Linked DNA regions of Canis lupus familiaris. The protein of the gene in region 1 purifies or fractionates together with the protein of each later gene. This does not show direct contact. Links are inferred from orthologs where the notes say so. Each region holds a gene or a part of one and is shown in the gene's direction. Other genes may lie near its edges.

Region 1 (3,349 bases):
CTCCAGGGGACAGCCCCACGGGGTTCCCCGAGCCCCGCCTCACAGGGCGTGGGGCCTGCACGTGGAGCACGGTCGCGGGGGAAGGGCCCCGGGAGCAGCGGGTGCGGCCGTCCCTGGCGCCTGGTGACCGCATCCTCTCCCCGGCAGCGGCCCACCGCCAAGGAGCTCCTGAAGCACAAGTTCATCACGCGCTACACCAGGAAGACCTCCTTCCTCACCGAGCTCATCGACCGCTACAAGCGCTGGAAGTCGGAGGGGCACGGCGAGGAGTCGAGCTCCGAGGACTCTGACATGTAGGGGCCCCTACGGCGGGCGCGCCCCCGCAGCCCTGGGCGTTGTGCCGTGGGCACCAGGCGGGCCTCCTTGGCTGAGGGCCATGAGGTTGCCTCCGAGACGCAGGCTGAGCGGGTGTGGGCCTCGGGCTCCCCCGGTCCCAGCCCCGTGGCCCTCACGGCCCTTCACCTTCCACCGTAGCGATGCAGATGCCGAGGACGGGGAGCAAGGTCCCATCTGGACGTTCCCCCCCACCATCCGGCCAAGCCCCCACAGCAAGCTGCACAAGGGGACGGCCCTGCACGGCCCCCAGAAGGTCTGACCTGGCGCGGGGAGGTGGGGGGGCTGCGTTCGGGGGGTGGCAGGCACCCTGGCGTGTGTGCTTCCACAGGGGGCACAGGTGGGGAGGGAGCACGCCTGCCGCCTGGGCGCGCTCTGCCCTCTCCCCTGCCCACCCTGCCGTGGCTTTGACTTCACAGTCCGCGGAGCCTGTCAAGAGGCAGCCGAGGTCCCAGTGCCTGTCCACGCTGGTCCGGCCTGTCTTCGGAGAGGTGAGGGCCGGCGTGGGGGTCGCCGGGGCAGAGGGCAGTGGTGCTTCTCTGCAGGTACTCCCCTCGGTGTCCCCTCAAGGGTCACGGTGACGTGCGCCGGCCAGCACCCCTCGGGGCCCACGGTGGTCAGGCCGGGATCTGGGGGCCAGGCCTTCTGAGCAAGGGAGCAGAAGGGGTTGCGACCACCCCGAGTGCTCAGCCTCCTGGGGGCCGGTGGGGGTCTCAGGATGACTGAACAAAAACTGTGTTTTGTGACCTTTTATTTTGAATTGCAGACACACGGGATGGTCCTGTTTAGGGAGCCTGGGAGGTTGAGTTCTTGGAGTTGGGTATCAGGCCCAGGGCGGGGAGGCCCCGAGGGTGACTCCCCTACGTGCCCCCTGCTGATGGGTGCTTGCTGACGCCCCAGGAATACAATGTAGCCAGGTGCCCGCACTCCCCACCCCAGGTGATGGCAGCCCCTGGAGCCCCAGGAGGGAAGATGGGACACTGAGTGCCTTTCCGAGACACGGGGTGGGGGGATCTGGGTTCAGGCAGGAGAGCTCCCACCTCTGGGGGCCTGTGGGGCGAGGGAGGAGGTCAGAGGGGAGCAGGTGACGAGCTGGACTGTCAGGGGGCTCAGCTGTGTGCTTCAATGGCCTGGGGCAGGTGCCCACGCCAGGATGCTCTGGGACAGGTGGGGGGATGGCTTCATCCCGCTTGTCGGGTGCACCCGCTGTGGCCTCTGTGGGCTGGGCCTGCAGTTGAGGCTGCTGGGGGGCGTCCTAGGGGCCTCCTGGAGATGCACAGGCTCTTTCCCCTTTTGTTTCTGGAGTGTGACACGGGCTTGACCTGACTGCTACCTGTCAGGTCAGCTGGAGGGCATGGACCCTCCGTGGGCTTCTCGAGGCCCGGGTGGTGGGGAGGCCGAGCCTGACCTGGCTGTGGGGACCTCAGGGCTTCTGGGAGGGTTTCTCGAGCAGCGGACCTCCGCCGTGGCCTCTGCGGCCCGCAGTTGGGAGGAAGCCTGGGTGGCCCGGCCCGCCACTAACAGGCCGCCCTGCCATGGGGACAGGTGGGACTCGGCCAGCCCAGCTTTGTGGTGGGAGGGCTGTTAGGGCCCCTGGCGCCTGGGCTCCTGCACATGCAGCACATGCACGTGGCGGCGAGGGCCCGTGGGCGGAGCTCACGGGAGGCGGGTGCTGTCTTTGCAGCTCAAGGAGAAGCACAAGCAGAGCGGCGGGGGCGTGGGGGCACTGGAAGAGCTGGAGAATGCCTTCAGCCTGGCGGAGGAGTCCTGTCCTGGCATCTCGGACAAGCTGATGGCGCACCTGGTGGAGCGCGTGCAGAGGTGAGGCCTGGGGCGGCCGTGGGGGTCCGTCCCCAGAGGCCGGGCTCAGGGAGTGGCGCCCGGACCCCCACGCCGGCTGCCTCCCACCCGGCCAACTCTCCAGGCCTCCGTCCTCTCCGCAGGTTTTCCCACAACAGAAACCACCTGACGTCAACCCGCTGAGGCCTGCCGCTGCCTGAGGAGAGCCGGGAGGAGGGGCTGGCGTGGAGCTCCGCGGTCCGGCTGCCTCGGCCCCAGTCCCCGCTCCTGCGCTCGGCCACCCCTGCCTCCTGCAGCACAGCGTCAGGGGAGCCACCGCCGGACGGAGCAGCGGAGGCTGTCGGGCCCATCTGTCCCCCGGGCCCGCGGCGGCCGTGCTGGCCGTAGGTTTGCCTTGTGTCAATCAGGTACCGTGTCTCCTCCTAAGTACTCGGATCAGCCAGGACTTTTTTTTTTTTTTTTTTAAAGAAAACGGACTTCTCGCTTCCCCGACGTTCTGAGGTTGAGGTGTTTTCATAGAACATGGAGAGGCTCCTGCCACCTTCAATAAAGACCTGAATCGGAGCGATGCTGGCGGCGGGTGGGGCCCAGTTCCTGGCTTGAGTCCTCGTCGTGGCCCGCAGCGACCGCGTGGCCCGCGGGCAGGAGGGCGGGGAGGAGCCCTGTCTCGGGCTGCACAGCCGGCCGTTAGCAAACAAATAACAGTGTGTGTGTCCGTTTACGTCAGTTTATTAGGAAACCCTGGGGAGCCAGAACTGAGAGGCCCGCGGGGTGCGGCCGGCACCGCATGGCTCCTGTTGTCTGTCCTCCGCGGGCGCCGCCCCGGGAGAGGGGAGGGCGTGGCTCGGACACTCCCTGGCCGGTGCCTCCGTGGCCCTTAGGACACGCAGTCAGGGACGCGCTGACCCCGCTCTGCTTGCTCGTCTGGGTCCTCGTCGGGCAGGACGGGCTTCATGCTGCTGCCTCGGAAGGCCCGGCCCGCGCAGGCGAGCTACTGGCGCGCTCGATCACCTCCATCCACCTGGGGAAGGGGTCGGACGTCAGAGCTCCCGAGGCGCTCACGTGGAGTCGGGGACGCGCTGGGCGGCCAGTGGCCAGCTGCCAGTTTCTTCCCAAGGACACCCCCAAACATGGGGAGAACCCTGGAAGCAGCGCCGTCCTCCCGCGCCCTCGGCAGCAGACCCCGCCGCCGGCCCAGGCTTACCTCTCAAACGTG
Region 2 (3,656 bases), on another chromosome or scaffold:
ACAGTTGTACAGTTGGTTCCAGAGTTTACAGTCTTCACAGCCAGGCTGTACTGTTTCCCTTTGTGGTTCAGAGGAATCAGCCCCCAGAGTTTCTGGACTCTAGAAGAATCCTTTTAGAGTCTTAATTTGCCTAGTGTGTACCCTAGAATCACTTCACATGTATAGGACCAGGAGCACCAGATACGTACTGATGAGTGTCATTTTCAGATTCAAGATTGAGAGATGGTAAATTTTGCTTTCAAAATAATTTAAAAATGTTATTAAAATAACAGAAAAGAGTACAAAATATACAATTCAATGAATAAGATAAAGTCATCTTATTAGCAAACGGAACTTGGAGAGCCACTACCCTAGAAGCCCACCACAAGCTCCCTCCCAAACATAGTCACACTCTGCCTGCTTCGGATAATACTTTATCTTGACTTTCCTGGTAACCACCTCCTGCTTCTCTTTGTAATGTTTTTACTTAAACATTGTAGGTTAATTTTAAGTTAAACTTCATTTTAAGTTTTCTAGTAGTCACATTTTAAAAAGTAAACAGTGGGAAATTAATTTTAATAATTCATTTTACTTAACCCAATATTTCCAAAATAATCCTCACTTGAACATGTGACACTAACCATACTTCATTTACTCAGAAGCCACATGTGGGGTTGTGGTTACCACATTGGACAGCATAGGTTTAGAATCTTCGTTTAGGAATTTGTTGATTATGCTTCTCATGGTATAATTTAATATTTCCTTTGTCCTCTGTATTTCCTGCAAATTGATAGTTGCATCTAGTATGGGGGAGGAGGGTTTGCAAACTTTTTCTATAAAAAGCCAGGTAGTAAATATTTTTAGCTTTGTGGACCAGTTTCTGTTGTAACTACTCAACTCTGCTCTTGTAACACAAAAGCACTATAATGTGTAAACTAATGGGCATCATGTTCCCATAACACTTTATTTACATAAGGTAGCTACAGTCCTGGATTTAGGCAGTGTTTGTCCCATCTCTGATCTAGAGGCTTAATAAGATTTAGATTTGATATTTTTGGGTGTTAAGACCACTTCATATGTGGGATTGTATTTTTTGTTAAGAGACATATAATTTCTAGTTGTGATATATTAGAAAAAATACTAAGTGCCTAGTTGTCAAATTATGTGTATGTATATTCCATCTGACACTGATAGAATTGCTGTTCCCGGCTTATTCATTCATTGAAAAAATATTTATTGAGTATCTGCTACATATTAGGCACTGTTGTGGTGCCGGGATACAAAGGCCCTTCTGTCATGGAGTGTACATTTTGATGAAGGAAAACAGATAGTAAACAGATAAAAAAAAAAAGCATTAACAACGATAAAGGCTATGATGAAAATAAAGTAGGATGATGTAATATGGAATGATTATAGGGCATTCATCTAGCTAGACTGGTTAGAGAAGGACTCTGAGAAGGTAATATAAACTGAGACACAGAAGAAAATGCCAGCCATGCCCTTTCCTAGAAAGCCAGAGCTCCAGGAAAAGAGAATTCCAGGAGAGGACACCTAGCCTTGGAACATAGTGGGTGATAGAGACTCTGGTAGGCTATGAGGTTGGATAAGATAGGGGACATATCACAGGGGTCCTAGTTTACATTTTAAAAATAATATTCTGGCTTCTGAGTGAAAGCCGAATTGTAAGGGGTAAGGGTGAGATTACAAATAGAAAGACCAGTTAGGAGACTTCTGCAATAATTCAGACAAGACGCCATGATGAACAAGGGTGGTACAGTGAAGGCGCAGAGAATCTAGAGGCAGATTTAGAGGTAGCATCATTAGGATTACAGTGGGATTGCGTGGGATGAGGGGAAGAGCAATCAAGGAGACCTTGATTTTTGGCTTGAGCCCATACTGTCTGGATGGTGGTGCTGAGATGGAGAAGATTTTGGGAGGAGGAGCAGGTATAGAGGGGAAAAGGGATTAACAAATATTTATTAGTATATATTTCCATAGATCATAGTAGTCCCTTGATTTAACATTGTTTTTGGATTCCAAAAATATTTGTATAGTTACTACCAAGAACCAAGTTCTAGCCTTTTTTGGCTTATTCATTTGGATAGAGGAGTGAGTGTTCTGGGCATATAGTAAATTATTGTTGACCAGCAATTTAAAAAATTTGTAATATTTTGGAAAGTTGAGTCACTATCTCTCTTGTGTAGATGTATGTGTATGTTGTACATAAAAAATACATAATCATATATAGACACATGCTGTTCAAGGTTTTGGTCTGTCTCTCTTGGGTGCTTATCTTGACGTATTTTTAGCTTCTACTTACATATTTATGATTCCTAAAGCTTTAATCTCAATTCATAATTCTTCATTGATTTGTCTAATTGAGTATTTCTACTTGCTCAGGGACACATAGGCATCACATTGAAACTTGGCAGTTTATATTTAGGACATTGAGTTCATTCATCTTATACATTTCTAAATTTGTTTTGCTGAATTTTTCTAGGCTTGGCTACCTCAGTTATTCTGTCCCTGATTCTTAACATTGAAATCCAGTGGATGGTGGGTTTTTTTTTTTTTTTTTTAAATTACTATTTTGTTTTTCTGTGTATTTCTTTCCAAGTCATCATGTCATGCCTACTATCACTGCCAGTGCAAATGGAGAATTTTGACAACTTAGCTTCCTGTCCCTTACCCTTATTCTCTTGTTTTTCTTGTGAGGTGTTGAATAGTTTGCTCAAGTATAGTTGTCATTTTTTTTTAATCCCTCAACAGTTTATTATAGGAAGGCCTTGAAGATATCATTAAAATGTTCTTTTTTTTAAATTTAATTTTTACATTTTTATTTCATTTTCCTTAATAAAAATTTTGCACTCTAACCAAGGGAATCACCTTACTTTCACACTAGAACAAGGTTGTTTCTACGTCTATGGATTTGTTATGCAAAGTCTGTTTCAAGACATAAAGACATGAAGCTGTGTAGAGTGTTTTGTTTCGTTTCTTTTGAAGGACACCCATAGCACTGCCCTGTGCCACGCATGCTCTACTGCCCTGTGGCTCTGCCTCAGTCTTGTCTGATTAACAGAAAGAAATTTCTTTTGTAAGAGATTTTATTTATTCATGAGAGACACAGAGAGAAGCAGAGACCTAGGTAGAGGGAGAAGCAGACTTTTCACAGGAAGCCCGATGGGAGACTCGATTCGATCCCGGGATCACGCCTTGAGCCAAAGGCAGACGCTCAACCACTGAGCCACCCAGGTGTCCCAACAGAAAGAAATTTTCTTCCTGTAGGATTCAGTGCGTCTCCTAGCTGTGGAAGCCTGTGTCAGCATTGCTCAGTTACTGTCTCAGGAGGACCTCGAGTCTTTGGTGATGCCTACGCTTCGGCAAGCAGCAGAAGATAAATCTTGGAGGGTCCGCTACATGGTAGCTGATAAGTTTTCAGAGGTAAAATTACTGTCCTGACGTTTTTTAAGTACTAAGAGAAAAAAAATCTTGAAACCCACAGATTTGCTGTGTACCAAAAGTTTCTGAATTAATTCTTCTGAATTGGAAGTGCTTGTAGCAAGAACGTACTTGAAGGTTACACTGTTTTGTTTCATTCATGTTAGTTAACTTGTTAGTTTACATTAAAACCTGTACAAATTGTCTTCTAGCTCCAGAAAGCTGTGGGCCCTAAAATC

The links.
Region 2: the proteins of STK25 (region 1) and PPP2R1B purify together in Homo sapiens (affinity purification with mass spectrometry; 3 studies listed by BioGRID and IntAct, with this or other methods). This does not show direct contact. The link is inferred for Canis lupus familiaris from reciprocal best matches to the Homo sapiens genes STK25 and PPP2R1B.

The regions. Positions count from the first base shown.
Region 1 is NC_049246.1:51,483,028-51,486,376, reverse strand, and holds the end of STK25 (serine/threonine-protein kinase 25), read left to right. Parts: intron 1-147; coding exon 148-293; intron 294-474; coding exon 475-589; intron 590-752; coding exon 753-824; intron 825-1,067; exon of another isoform or gene 1,068-2,017; coding exon 2,018-2,154; exon of another isoform or gene 2,155-2,276; coding exon 2,277-2,316; 3' UTR 2,317-2,697; downstream 2,698-3,349. Other genes in the region: FARP2 (FERM, ARHGEF and pleckstrin domain-containing protein 2), read right to left, coding at 3,085-3,154, 3,338-3,349. UniProt on the Homo sapiens protein: Oxidant stress-activated serine/threonine kinase that may play a role in the response to environmental stress.
Region 2 is NC_049226.1:21,363,803-21,367,458, forward strand, and holds part of PPP2R1B (serine/threonine-protein phosphatase 2A 65 kDa regulatory subunit A beta isoform), read left to right. Parts: intron 1-3,264; coding exon 3,265-3,420; intron 3,421-3,629; coding exon 3,630-3,656. UniProt on the Homo sapiens protein: The PR65 subunit of protein phosphatase 2A serves as a scaffolding molecule to coordinate the assembly of the catalytic subunit and a variable regulatory B subunit.